Diceros bicornis minor: one gene and its partner. The protein of the gene in region 1 purifies or fractionates together with the protein of each later gene. This does not show direct contact. Links are inferred from orthologs where the notes say so. Each region holds a gene or a part of one and is shown on either strand. Other genes may lie near its edges.

What was found. The genes of interacting proteins can lie anywhere in the genome.
Region 2: the proteins of FOXJ1 (region 1) and RFX3 purify together in Homo sapiens (affinity purification with mass spectrometry; 3 studies listed by BioGRID and IntAct, counting the BioPlex papers as one, with this or other methods). This does not show direct contact. The link is inferred for Diceros bicornis minor from reciprocal best matches to the Homo sapiens genes FOXJ1 and RFX3.

What each region holds. Positions count from the first base shown.
Region 1 is NC_080757.1:56,492,633-56,500,362, reverse strand, and holds the start of FOXJ1 (forkhead box protein J1), read left to right. Parts: upstream 1-4,730; 5' UTR 4,731-4,881; intron 4,882-5,443; 5' UTR 5,444-5,612; coding exon 5,613-6,110; intron 6,111-7,730. Other genes in the region: E3 ubiquitin ligase RNF157, read left to right, coding at 332-453. UniProt on the Homo sapiens protein: Transcription factor specifically required for the formation of motile cilia. Acts by activating transcription of genes that mediate assembly of motile cilia, such as CFAP157.
Region 2 is NC_080761.1:27,726,879-27,733,964, reverse strand, and holds the start of RFX3 (transcription factor RFX3), read left to right. Parts: upstream 1-4,080; 5' UTR 4,081-4,232; intron 4,233-7,086. UniProt on the Homo sapiens protein: Transcription factor required for ciliogenesis and islet cell differentiation during endocrine pancreas development. Essential for the differentiation of nodal monocilia and left-right asymmetry specification during embryogenesis.

The DNA of each region.
Region 1 (7,730 bases):
ATAGGCAAACCCCAAAACCAAATAAAGATACAAAAGTGGATTGTAGGGTAAGTTTACAAAACAAGGAGCATCCTGCGGGTCTCTCTTGGTAGTGGGCCACAGTGGCCATGGCTGTACATAGTCCAGTGGGCCACAAGCAGTCCCTGCACCTGTTGGCACCCACTTCCCCTGAGTCTCTTTCTCACACGCTGTGGCTTGCACACGCATGGGAGTTTCAGGTAACACGGATCCTGCTGGCTTCTCTGCCGAACTCCTGGGCTGCCCTGCTGGAATCACCATCTGGACCCGGCCAAAGGTCTGGCTCCTATAACCTTCCTTTTCTCTTCTCCAGGTTCCTGGCAGGACGATGACAACATTGTCAGTCGTCGGAACACACAGCGCCGGCGCTTATCATCCGGCAGCCTGGAGGACCCCGAGAGCAGGCCCTGTATGTGGGGCCCTTTGGCCGTTTGAGGGCCCAGCCTGTGCCAGGGCTCCTCTCCGTCCTCGCATTCCATCCTGGCCTCATTGGACCGCTGGCCTCGTGGGCATCCTCAGCAAGACACATGGAGACTTTTTATACCTATGTGAGAGCTGGACCTTGAGATCAATTGCTCCTTCTCCCAGCCTTGTCTCCTTCTATACCCTGATCCTTCCCCTCCCAGAAGGAACTGGAACCCTCCTTGCTCCTTGTGGGCTAAAGCCACTCAATGAACTGTGGCTCATGAGACCCTTTGCAAAGACTCTCTGGAATGTTTCCACCATATGTTGGTCTTCAGGTGGAGCCAAGGTCCACAGGCTGGTTGTTTCTTGTGCATCTTTTTTCTCCTGAGTGGGTAGACCAAGATGATTTGGAGTTTTCACGGCTTCATTGCGAACACCCATCTGGCATTTTCAGGTCTCTGGGACATCATAACTGATTTGAAACCTCCAACTTGGGGTGGGGTTGGGGGATGACTCCTGTGAGAAGGGAAAGCCATATTTCACTCTAAGTGGAATTTCCCTCAAAAAGCATCAGGAGGGGCTGGCCCCATGGCGTAGTGGTTAAGTGTGCGTGCTCCGCTGCTGGCGGCCCGGGTTCGGATCCCTGGTGTGCACCAAGGCACCATTTGTCAGGCCATGCTGTGGCGGCGTCCCATATAAAGTAGAGGAAGATGGGCACAGATGTTAGCCCAGGGCCAGTCTTCAGCAAAAAGAGGAGGATCGGCATGAATGTTAGCTCAGAGCTGATCTTCCTCGCACACACACACAAAAAGCATCAGGAGCTCCTTTCGCAAGAACTAGAAACAGTGGCAACAAAAAGATTGGTTGAAAAAACTGTTCTTGCTTCTGGTAGCAGAACTAGTCTCCTCTGCCTCGTGTGTTGGTCTGCTCAGGAAGAAGACCCCGAATCTGAGAACCCCCTATTAAATGATTGCCCTTACGAGGGTGATTTATGATCAGGCACATTCATGAAGGCCCGGGACTGCATCCTAAGGTGACATTTCCAAAAAAACCTTTTTAACCACCTTTATGTGCCGGGTACTGTGGTGGGGCTGTGGGATCTTATCACATTTCATCCCTACAGCCCTGTCAGGTGGTATTCTTATCCCTATTGTTCCTGTCTCCACCCCTTTTCGTATTAATAGTTGGAGAAACAGGCTGAAAGGTGGGGGGACCGGTGATCCTCAAATTGGTGCCCAGGAGTCCCCAAGGATGTGGTGGAGGGCACTGAGGTGGGGCCAGCAGTGGTCTGGGAGCCTCCCCACCCATGTTTTCCTCCACTGCCTTCCAGATCCGCTGAGCCTGATGGGGGAGGGGGAGGGATTGCCTTCCATAGGCTCATTAAAGATTTAGAGATACTGTTGTTCAAATTATATGCCCACCCCACCCCACCTCAGTCCAGTGTGAGGCATATAAACAAAAGCTTGAAATGGCAATGCTAGACTGTAAGATGTTGGGAGTTACTCCTCTTTCAACACTAGTGTTATCGTTGGAGTCCACATCGCTCTTGGATAGATGCTTTGTCTACTTACTTTCGGAAAAGGTGGTTGTTTAGTGGAGCATGAGATTGGGAAGCAAAGTTAGGTACAACAATTTGTGAGGCTGAGATATGGCAGAGCCGCAGGCTGTCCCCATCATGATGGCCAGTCTTAGCATTTGGAATTGTCATCCTAAAAGAGTTTTTCAGGGCCATTTCCAAGGCCTCAAAGAGAGTCCAGTGCTCAGGGGATCCTTTGCGCCTTCTGTGTGGCTTTTTTGCACTGCCAGGTAGGTGGTGACCCTCACACTGACTAGTGGTTGTGGCTCACGTCCTGCCCTGGGGGGTTGGGGGGGGGGAGGCCTGTTGTCCTGACATATGTGACATGAGCCAAACCTGAATTTAAGCTTCTGTCTTGAGTTTCCATGTCCACTGTCTCTGAAATCCTACAGTGGACTCTGCTGTTTCGGGCCCCGCTTAATGTCCTATCTTTCCCCCACATTCTTACATATTTAATATTTGAGCAATAACCCCACTTGCTGATTTCCTTGAATTTTGAGCCCCAGAAGCACCAGGGGATGGAGCTTCCGTTAGCATGGGGTGGTGGCACACAGACCCCCCTCCTCTCCTGGCAGGTAGTAGTCACAGTGTGGTGTTACCTGAGATGAAGGAGATGCAGGTAAACAGTAGCCCACAGTGGCTAGGAACCCTAAGAGGAAGCCATTATCTTCACCCCTTCTGGAGGGTCTGTGTCCTCTCCCAGGAAGGGGCTCAGAAAGATTCTTCAAGACCTTGGTTCCATAACCAAGACATACCTGGGTTAGAAATGGCCCTTCACTCTTTGTTTCTCAGACAGTTCCTTTTCTCTCTCCCTCTCCCCCTCTCCCTCCCTCTGTCTCTCTCTCTCTCCCTCCCTCCCTCCCTCCCTCTTTCTCTCTCTCTCTCTCTCTCTCTCTCATCTCTTGGTACTCATTTAGCTCTTTGGCAAGCAGAAACATCCCATCATCCCATCCAAAGGGGCTGGTCCTCAGTCAGCTTGATCAGGGAACAGGGCAGCTGCCAACCCTACTGCCCGAACCCATCATCTGGAGACAGTCATTGTGTGTAAGCAGTTGACCCAGAGAGAATGCGATGGGGCCTGCCTTCTCACACGAGAGCACACACTAACTGGAAGCCTGTAGCTCCTTCCTGCCATACTCAGGTCTGAGCTCTCCCATGGCCTCCGAGTGGTGTGGTGATCCTGGCCACCTCGTAGAGCCTTTTTTCCTTCCCCTACCCAGTTCCATCCCTCCAGAGTTCATGGCCACTTTGGGGAATCTCCTGGGGACAGACCCACACACTTTAAGCCGTTTAACCTGGGGAGAGGTAGTGTCCTGTCCACCTGATCTTGGCATGCTGGTTGCTCACTTTGCTTTAGGATCTGCACACCTGGTGTGTGCAAGTGTGTGTGTGTACTGTTGTGCCCTCTGTGTACCACTGTGACTCCCTGGAGTGCACTCATGGGCACACTACAGTGGGGACATCAAGGATGCAATATTTATGGATTGCTGCATGATTCTTAAAAATGAATAAAACTGTTTACAAAGGAAGGAGAGCTGTTAACTGCACAGTTGGCTTATTTGTGAAAGTTTCTGTCTGACTTTCCCCAGCACTCTTTAATATTTTTCCTCAGGAGAATCTGGAGGTGGAGGAATGGGAGAGGGCAAGGGGTAGGGCAAGACATGCTCCTGGGCAGAAGCTGATGTGCCATCCCCTGGGCACAAGCTTCCCACCCCCAGCTCCCCTGCTCCTGGGCAGAGGCCTGAGTATGGAGCCCTCACCCCCACCCTCACCCTTAAACCGGAGAACCTCCAACACTGCAGCTCCTCAATAATTGAAGAGCAGGAAAGCTGGTGGCAGGAGTGAGGCCAGGGGAAGGGAGGAGGAAGGGCCACAGTCCCCCGTGTCCCTCTAGCCTTAGTCCCTGTCACTTAAAAGTTGGTGAAATTAATGGGGCAAATGGCCCCACTAGGAGAATTTGGTCAGTTTTACCCATGGGCTCTGCTACCTCAGCTATCTGGAAAAGAGAAAGAGCACTTCTGCAGAAGCCTCTGGAATGTCAGCTTCCGGGAACCTTCCTGAGGACAGAGGTGGAGAGGAAGCCGCTTACCGGGAAACACCGGATTACCCTACCCGCCTTGGTGTGTCTGCCGTCAGTGCAGCCGTTTCTGCGGATCTGAGCGGCAGGTGGCATCGGAGAGTCATACCTGCCTGCTGACACCAGAGAGCACACTCTGGGTCGGGAGAGAGGGAAAGGCTGCAGAAACGTGAGGAAGTGCCACACGCAGCCCAGAGGAGAGGAAAGGAAACCCCCAAGCATACGGTTCCCGAGCCTGCGCCTGCTCCCAGCCTTGGCCCCCACGCCCTGGGCCGCGTCCCAGGAGCCGCCAGCACCTCGAGGCAGCCCAGATGGGAAGGGGGCGGGGCGCGAGAGCGGTTCCCGGGCGAACGGCTCGTCGGGTGCCCGGGGTCTCTGGCGGAGGCGCCGGACCGCGCGCTTCTCCGAGCCCTGCGCGGGGCCCTCGGGCGGGAATGCGCGGAGCCGGGACTCGGTGGCGGGTAGGGGCCTGGGTGGCGCGGGAGAGGGCGGCAGAAGGAGGGAGTTCGAAGAGAGTTACCGCCAGAGAGAGTGGCAAGAGCCCGCGGTCTCCTTGGAGACGTGCTGACCAATGGCAGCAGCGGAAGCTGTTTATGGGGGCGGAGCGTCGCCATAGCAGCAGGAGAAGCCTTTGGAGCGGCTACTTAATGCCGGTCCTGGGGCTGCTGTCGCTCAGAGAGGCGCCGTCCGGTGGGGGGGCGACGAGGGGCACTAGCGGGCCCTCGAGCTGGAGGCAGAGAGCCGCAGGGGGTGGGAGGAACTTCTTCCAGAACCTTCCTTTGGCCCAGGTTGCGCTCTGAGCCAGGTAAGGGACGGAAAGGGCTGCGGGACGCGGGAAGGGAGAGCGTTGGTACCAGCCCGCTCTCCCATCTGTCCCTGAAGGAAGTGGTGGGCCGGGGGACTGACATCTGAGGAGTTTGGGGGACACTCACTTCCCGCCCCCCGTAACTCTGTCCTGTTCCCTTCCTTCCCGTGATCCCCCATCCTAACATCCCTTTTCAAAGATCAGACGACCTCCCCAGGCCCCCTGCCCTATCGTACTGCCCTCCCGGGCTCCCTCGCCTCACTTCCACTTGTTGCAGGAAGGAGGGGCTCTGATTTCCCGCTCTTGGGAAGAAGGGGATAGCCTCGGATGCCCCTACCTCTTTCCTCATTTGGCTAATAAAGTCTCCTCTGAAATCTCGAAGAGGAAAAGAAGAGCGAGACGGACCTTGTGAGGGTCAGGCACTACTTCTGTTTCCCAGACCTTGGCACTAAAAGATCCTCTCCAGCTTGCGGGGACGATTTTAGAGGAGCCTCCCCCCTCGCACACACTCTTCCCTCGGGGGCGGGGGAAGGGTGCTCAGCCCCCGTTGCGGTCCCCACAGGCACCACATTCGTATTCGGAGGAGGCGACCCCCAGGTCGCAAGATGGAAGTGCGCGTCCAGGAGGCTGTGTAACCGGAGCCGCGGGAGTCAGCGGGCCGGAGAACGCGGCGGGCCACCCTTGGCTTAGTCCGTGGATGTTGACCGCCCCCTTGAAGAGCCCCCACAGACATGGCGGAGAGCTGGTTACGTCTCTCAGGAGCAGGGGTGGCGGAGGAGGCCGGGTCGGAGGGCGGCCTGGAGGAGCCCGACGCCCTGGACGACAGCCTGACCAGCCTGCAGTGGCTGCAGGAATTCTCCATTCTCAACGCCAAGGCCCCCGCCCTGCCCCCGGGGGACACCGACCCCCATGGCTACCACCAGGTGCCAGGCTCGGCGGCGCCAGGTTCGCCTCTGGCGGCCGACCCCGCCTGCCTGGGGCAGCCGCACACGCCGGGCAAGCCCACGTCGTCGTGCACGTCTCGGAGCGCGCCCCCGGGGCTGCAGGCCCCGCCCCCCGACGACGTAGACTACGCCACTAACCCACACGTGAAGCCGCCCTACTCTTATGCCACGCTTATCTGCATGGCCATGCAGGCCAGCAAGGCCACCAAGATCACCCTGTCGGCCATCTACAAGTGGATCACGGACAACTTCTGCTACTTCCGCCACGCTGATCCCACCTGGCAGGTAGGGGAGGTACAGGTGGCAGCCGTTCCCTCCCCGTGCCCTCCCTAGGTCCCCACACCCGCGGGGACTGAACTCATGTCCCAGATCCGCAGGTCAAGTAGGCATGGTGCAGCCAGGGCCCCGAGGGAGGAAGGCCGTCGAGGAAAGACCTCGAGGGAGCCCAGTGCTTGAGCTGCCTCCACCTTTGACTTCAGAGAGGGACAGGGAGGATGTTCAGAGGGCTTTAGGGGTGTGAATGCTGAGGTTCAAGGGGAAAGCACTTGTCACGCACGCATCCAGCAGGCCCAGCCCAAAGCCCAGGGCCAGACTATGCGTGAACACAGCCCCTAGGGGAGGATGATGGACTGAGGGACACATTTTTGTTCCAAGTCCTAGAATTCCTAGACACTGCCCCGCCCAAGGACAGTTAGTCAGGGCCGACTCAGAAGCGGAAGCTGGAGCATCGCCCCCTGCCAGGCTCTGCATCCTGCCTTGCTGCAGTCTGCTGGTGGGGGAGGGGGAGTGCTGTGGGGTGTGAAGGCCAGCTGTGTCCTATTGGAGGGGCTATGGGGCCTTCCTAAAGCTGCTGTCCCTGCCCCCCACCCCAACCCCTCCCCAGTTTCCTGCCTCCACTCCTCCCCCTCTTCTCAGTCAGCCTCCCTGGGGGGACAATTACCTGAGCCAGGTGCTTACCACAGGGGCTCTGCCTCCCGCACTGGCTTCATGTTCCAAGTCTCTGGAACCTGGCACAGAGCAGCCAAGGGGCCCAGGCCACCGTGTAAACATCCCGGCCTTGCCAGGGCACACTACCCACCCACCTGTCCTGCTGTCCAGGCCCAAGACCCCTGTCCCCCAGCATGGTTTGGATACGACTACACAGCTAGAAATGAACAAGGCAGGATAGTGATTTGAGGCTGGGCAGGCATTGCTCTGAGAGTCTTCAACCATCAGGATCAGGGGCTAGTTGAGGACAGAGGCCCTGAGGATGCCCAGCTCTTCCCTGGGGCACCCACAGGGGCTAGGCCGCAGGACAACAGTCCCAAGCTATTCCACGTTTTTTGGGCCCTGACCCTGGGGCAGTGCTGTTTGCAGCCTCAGTGAGAAAGCAGAGACCTACCCCAAGCCTGTGAAGCTCAGGCCGCGAGAAATGAGCCCCAGGAATGAGCACTATGCTCTTGGCTGGGTAATAATCAACTGAGACCTCATAGCCGGGGAGGGGGGGGGGGGCCGCGGGGGGTGAGGGCCCAGGTCAGCAGCTGGCTCAACAAACAAAGAAAGTCATCAGATCCCCCCACACTTCATCCCTACACACACTCGCAGGCACACACACCCTCACACCCTCAGTTGGTTGTCCAGCCCCACCCCACCCCCGACCCACTCACTCACTTCACAGAGAGGGCCAGCCAGGCCCAGGCGGAGGGCAATGGCTGTCCAGGCCCTGGGGGAGCTGAGGCCTTTGGCCAGAGGCCGCAAGCGGCAGAGTAAGGGAGGGAGGGCGGGACGGGGTGGCACTGAGAGCCACCCTGCGGCTCAGGGCTCGGATGACTGAGCAGGCAGATATCCCGGCAACAGGGAACAAAAGCCCCCGACAGCACTCCTGGCTCCTGGCGCCCTGTGGCTGGTGTCCCAGAGCTGCCTGGT
Region 2 (7,086 bases), on another chromosome or scaffold:
TTATTTGGTTTTAATGATGCAAATATTGTATTTGACATTCTGTATTCAATGAAGGGAAAAATCTACATGTGTATATCAAAAAATAATTTGGTCTTGAGAAAAAATAATTTATGATTTAATTACCATCTTTCTGTGCTGGGAGTAAAAATTGAATTCCAGGTTATATATAAGGATGGACATACCTCAGGACTGCCAAGTAAACAGTTGGTTTGAATTACTTAAAGAGAACAAAATTAGAAAGACAAATCTAACAGAAAAAAAAATATTGCAATATTTTAAAAACCAAAATATACTTTGAGTGGGGATGGGTAGAGCTGGGAGTGCTCCCGAGAACAGTGGCAAACTATGTACAGTTTTGAATTACCTCGGCCTCTATCACTCTCTATCATTATTGATAATTAGCATATATCCACAGAATTTCAGATCTAGTAAAGGTAATTAGTAATCCAGTAGTCTAATTCCCCAGTACTCTGCATATAAGTACTCAATAAACACTGGTTGAAATGAAACCATTCATTTCACATATGAGAACTAAGACTCTAGTTGTCTCTCAATTGAAGAAAATTGGATATTATAATCAAGTGAAACATTTTTAAACAGGTGTGATTTCTGCTTTATAAAAGGATGCACCACAAATTCAGTGGTAAGCTGCCACAGACTGATACATTTTCAAAACTCTCATAAATACAATTTTTCAAAAGTAAACCTATCACATATCTGTATTTTATCTTTTCACATACAGCTTTTCCTTTTACAAGCATTAATGTTGAAGTAATTTTTTAGTTCTTGAATATGCAGTAGATATCAATAGGAGGAAATAACCTAACAGATAATATTGAAAAGGAAATTTACCCTTAAGAAGGTACTAAAGTAACTGATAAAGTATATAATCATACATAAATAATCAGGGCTTCATACTTTTCAAGTGGTTGTCTCTGCCAATCACTCCAAGCTGAGAGCAAAAACAATCCAAGTTCAAAGGACACAACATTTAAAATTCGTAGATATTGACTTTGAGCATTTAACAGAGAGGAACTATGTTTGGCCCATATCAGGTACTCAACAAATAATTATTGCATCGACAGTTTATTGAATTTTTCAAGGAATGTAAAAATTTTTTGGTTAGGTACCTTGTCTCATTGAGCCCAGTGTGTACTGCAGGGTAACAGGTAATAAATGTTAGACACTGCCGGATCTTTTCTGTGACTTCTTAACAAATAATTTATTTCTGAAACATATGTACAACATATGTGAAGAGGCAACTATGCAGCTTAAAAATGACCAAAAAGGAGATCCTATCAGAACTGACTATAGGCAAAAGGATTTCTGGGTCCTTTCATAACTAGTTATAGCACAAAATAATACATGCATATATAATCCAGGATGTTTCCAAATCGATAGCTTGAATTGGTAGTCTGGTTATTGGATTCAGTGTGGTGGTAATATTGACAATTTCATATTACAGTAACTTCAATATGGTTAGAAGTCATACCATCAATTGTCCTAGAACACGGAAAAATATTCTAAATCCTAAAGAACTCACTTAAAGAAATATATCTATTCCTAATTCAGGAAAAGATCAAATCAGGAAGTAGGTAAAAAAAAAAAAAAAAGTCGTCTTTAAGCGGCTGAAAACTGATGTTACAACGCCCTCGCACAAAGGTCACACACTTTTTCTAAAGGAGAGTTCCTCAAAGTACCGATTTTCACTCTTGAGACACAGTTTTGCACAAGCTTCATTATGTGGTTTTCTCGCCTGCAGATTTAAAAGCAATAGATAAAAAGGGTGGGGAGGATAACAGAGCTATGTTCACTGACGGCAGGAAGAAGCAACAGCTGACAGTGAGGGAAGGGACAAGCAAACTATAACAGACAATAGAACTAAAAAAGAAAAGCTATTCAGAGCTGTGTAGTGTGAGCAAACAGCCCCGCACAGTTATAGGAATAGAGGACTTTATCCGTAAATGTAATAAACGAATATTCATAATGACTACCAGTTTTCATACAGCTGGAGTGCTGTGTATCTTTCCCACATGTATGTCGAAATTATTGTAAATCTAAAGAGTTTAACTGTTGTTGTTCACCACATTGTCATTTGTCTCAGACTAGAAAGGCCTTCTACATGGTGGGTCATAGAACCTTTTAGCTTGAGCACCGTACTTACCACTGTTCACTATTACATTGTCATACATTATCATCAGAACCTCTATAACTCATTATGAGATTACCATGGGCAACAACATTACTTTCTTAAATCTATTGTTTAAATAGTTCGTTCCTAAAATACCCTTATCTAATATTCCATGACACAGAGCCGTAATATAAAACCACTGATTTTTAAGACTCAGCGCCTGTTTTCCCTAAAATGAGAATGTTTTGTACCTAATAGTGGTGTTATGAGGATTAAATGAGATAATGTATGTAAAACACTAAACACAACGTCTGGGGCTGTATAAGAGCTCAGTAATGGTCGCTATTATTATTTCAGCACTGTGAATTTATGTCGGCCCAAATCCCTTACTTTGCAGGTGCAAAGATTAAGCCTCAAGAGGAGAACTGACTTCCTAAGGCTCTACATCTAACGTTATTGTCTTGGATAAGCAGCTTAGCTGCCTGTGTTGGAGGTTTGGGGTATTGGCAGGGCCCAGGGGCATGTGCCTGTAGGACTCTCGTCTGCAGAGAATTGGACGGGTATGTTAGAAATGTGAGGTATTAGAGGCTGTGCAATCCCAATGGGTGTTCGAGACACCGGGTTGTGTGCTAACAACGTGCATCACGGACGGAAGCCATTCGTCTATCTCAATACAGCCAGAAACAGCAAGACCCTGAGATACAGCGGGTTGTCAAGTAACCCGGCCGAGGGCAGGGCAAGTCATAGGATAGTGGGTTGAGCTCAAATCGCGGTTCGGTCAACTTCAAAGAGGGACGAGCCCTTTACTGAAGGGCTGAAGATAACGAGGAACTAGAAACTAACGGGGTGCTATCCCCGGCAGGTGTAAGTTACCCCAACCCTCAACGCCTTTCGCGGAACGGGACCGCCATGTGTTTTCTCATCCTCCGGCGAGGGCAATTTCTCGCTTCTTCTTAGCACTTACTCCCCGCCCTGTGGGTGGGGAGTGGGTCCCCCGCCTCTCCGCTCTGGAATGAAGACCGCGGGAGCTCCGACCTTGCCCTCTGCGCCCCGGGACGGCGGCAGGCCGGCGCGCTGCCCACCAGCAGCCCGGGCTCGCCGGCTCCAAGATGGCGGCGGAGGCAGCGGCTCACGCCCCGCCGCCCGCGCTCCTCCAGATCGCCTCTCGGGAGGCGAGAGCGGGTTGGAGGGCGGAAAGCCGGAGGGCGAAGGCGGCTCGGACTCTCCAGTCCAGCGCGGGTCCAGGAGCCCCGGAGTGCCCAGGCATACTCTAAGCCAGCAGGCCGATGCCACTGGGAACACCTCCGGCGCCTCAGAAAAGAGAAAAAAAAAAAAAAAAAAGAGGAGAAAAGGAAAAAAAAACAGAATGACCGAGCGAGCAACGGCACATCCGGGACCCTCCGCCCGCCCCGCCCCGGAAATGACGTTTTAGACTGCGGTGGGGGGGCAGAAGCCGCTCTTCAAAGTAGATTCTTCTTTGGCTGCAGCTCGTCTCCGTACAAAGTGTCTGGAATCGTCCTCAACCACCCCTCCCTCGGATTAGCAGTTACCCTCTCGCAGCTCTAGGCCTTCTTTGCACAAAGCTGGCTGCTGGGACTGGCAGCTCGCGTTTCACAGAAAGTATCCTTCGCACACGCCCCTGAACAAGCCCTCCAGCCTGGCCAGCGCTTGTACTAGCGTGCCTCCGAGACGACTCTCGGGTGACCTCAACCCTCCCAAACCTAAGCGCGTCTCTTCAGAGCCCTTCCTCGGAAGCCCGGCCTCGCGCCCCCAAGCCCGGGTTCGGGTGCTGTCAGTCACGGCCCTGGGCCCGCCCCTTCCGGCCGCTCGCCGGGCCCGCCTCCTCCCCTCTTCCCTCTCCCCCTCCCCGTGCGAGTGTCTCCCTCTGCCTCTCGCTCTCTCTCTCTCCCTCTCTCTCTCTTTTGTGAGTTATAGCAACCGTTGCCTTGTGAATCAAGCGCCATAGTCACCGTAGTCCTGGCGACTGTTACCCATCAACAACAACTACTCCTCTCCTCCTCCTCCTCCTCTTCCTCCTCCTCCTCCCCACCACCACCATCTCCATCACCCACCAACAACACCACAATAATCCACAGCCAAGGTGAATATTCTTCGGTCTCTACATGTGTGTGGGAGCGTGTGAATGCGTGTGTCCGTGCGTGTGTGTGTCCGTGTGTGCGAGCCGAGTGTGGCTGTGCGGGGGTCTCACTCCTGACACCGGGGGCTGCCGCTGCGGCGCCGCTGCCGAGGGGCTCCGTCCCCCGGGCTTGTTTACAATGGACCGTGCGCGCCGCGGCTGGGTCGGGGGTGTGGGCGCCGCGCCGCCCGCCCGCCGGCCCCGGCCCTCGGCGGCCGCGCTGCAGGGATGGAGCGGGAGCTCGGAGGGCTCCGAGACGAGCGGGAGAGGGAGCCACAGTTTGCCGATGCGGATGGTGAAGCTCTCCCCTAGGTCTGGTCTGAGAAGGAAGGGTCAGGTGAAGAGAGAAGGGTTTTTTCCCTTTCTTTCTTTCATTTTCTTCTTTTCCAAAGCTGCTTGTTTCCTGCTTCTTTCAAAACCGAAATAGACAACAGTGTGCAGGGGGGAACCCAAGAGGTGATGTTTTGTTGTTGTTGCTGTTGTTCACTTGTGGGGCCTTGTGAAGGGTTTTGTTATTTTTATCCTCCTGCAACGGTGAACTTTTCCCACCGCCTCCCCCCTTCATTTTTGCCCCTCTTTGGCTTGTGCTACATGGGCTGCTCATCATCAGCGGCATGGTTTTTTTTTTTCTTTTAAAACTGTGTTTTCTTTGTGCTGCAAACAGTCTTAATATCCATTCAGCACTCTTCCCTACCCCCCTTACTTCTCCCCCCACACCCCTTGCACACACATTGAAACCGGGGGCCTCTTCGCTGGGCTCTTTGCTGCGCTGGCAAAGAGATTTTTTTTTTTAAGTCGCTGTCTTCTCTCTCTCTTTTTTGGTGTGTGTGCGTGCGTGTCTGTGCGCGCGCTTGTGATTTAAACCGGATGCAGGGCATCTGTGATACTTGGGTTAGTAGTTATTGACAGTGCTTTATCCTTCATGTGGAGGTGGGAGGGGTACCAGTGAGGTTCCATTTCACTTTGATGAACCTCCTTCCCAACAGTGGAGTGTTAACACTTTTCATTGCGGTTATGAGACTTTGTGTGTGATAAGCAGGGAAAGGACATAAGGAAGCTTTGTGAGAACTCAGTTTACAGTGTTATTTGTGACAGTTACGGTACTTAAAAGAGTTTCTTTCTTTTTTTTTTCTTCATCCTCTCTGTTCGTTTTCCTTTGAGAGTTGAAATTGAAGTCAAGTTGTTCATAAAGAATGTATGAAGCTTCTCAACTTGAAACGTGTGTATATTTCACTTTCTTTGTGGTTGTTAAGATCTCGGCATGTGTGTACTTAACGTATTCTTTCTTATTTACTTTTTTAAATTTATTTTTATTTATTTTACTTTTTTGAACAGTGGCTTAAACCTGCTGAGGAGAGAGAACTTTTTCGCTTTTAAGTCTTTTAAAAATCTGTTTTTCTCTGTAGATTTGAATACTTATCGGTCCTCAAGTGGTAGAGCTCTTGGTAGAGGTAACCCAATATTACAGATCCTGTAAATTTGTTCATTTTTTAGCTGAACGTTTAATTAATAGATTATCAGTAAAGAGTTTTGATAATGTGCACTAAAACAAATATAATGTACTCTTATATTTGCACATATTGAAGTTTCCAATTTGGCATTTTAAAATACTTATTTAAAGTCTTCTTTCTAATAGCAAACATATATTGATTTACCTGACAGAGCAGCCTGTGAATAATGTGACAGTTTTAATTATTCTTGAGATTGTCAGTGAGCAGGTTGGGTAATTGTAATGCTATTAAGGCTAATATTTTGTAAAATAAGAGTTGGGGGTTAAAAGACTTTTACTCTTTCAATTCATTTCCTTGTGATTGCTACTTTAAATGAGGATGATATTTTGTTCTGAAAGAAATCTTTCTCGGAGCACTCAAATTTCTTTATATTTATTCATCCCCTCCCCAGCCTGGGTTCCATGCAGATCTCTAATACTAACTTGTATTTTTTTTTTCTGTTCAGATGAGTGTCAAATGCCTGAACACTTTTGGATGGTGAAGCTCCTGGGTCCTAAAAACTCTCTCTGAAGTTAATAGGAGTTTTGCTGTCTTGAGACAGTTTCAGACCTTATGCCATTTACATAATAGGTTTTCAGTGGAGTAGATTATATGCTATAATGTTATGGTTTAATATTTTTATTTGCAGTGCCCAAGAACTTTTCTGAGGCATTTCACTCATTACAACCATCTCAGGTTTTCTATAATTTAGATTTTAATTCACAAGTTGATTTGAGAACAGAACTTAAATTGAATTCTGCAGCTTATCCATTTTTGAAAGCACACATGTGGTATAAAAGTTGCTGTTAGAGATGCTTTGGGCTTAAGTATGTCAACATTTTTTATATGGATTGAGTAAATAATAACCAGAAATACTAACAAATGATAAATTTTAAAATTTAACACAAGGATAAATACTTAGCAGTTAGTTTATTCTTTCTGTGTTATTTTTCCTAGGAGGGACTGTATTATATATTGCTGTTCTCGTGTCTCCTCAGTTTTCAGACTAACGAAAATCTGTGAAAGTGACCACGCTTTAAAACTAAAACTTAAATAGGAGTCACTTGTAATTTGTTTTGAGTAGCTGAATATCTGTGATTTGTTGCATACTGTCTGTCTCAATCTTTTTAGATTGTTTTGCCTATGAATAGCATTAAATGGTTTAGGCATATTTATTTAGTACATTTACATGTATAGTATAGTAAACTAAATGCATTCCTAAAATACATCATTCCACAATGTTTTCATTATATGAGATAGTTATGCCTAATTTTAAAAATAATGTATTATTTCTCCAGTATTCAAATAGTCTTGTACTCTACTGAGGT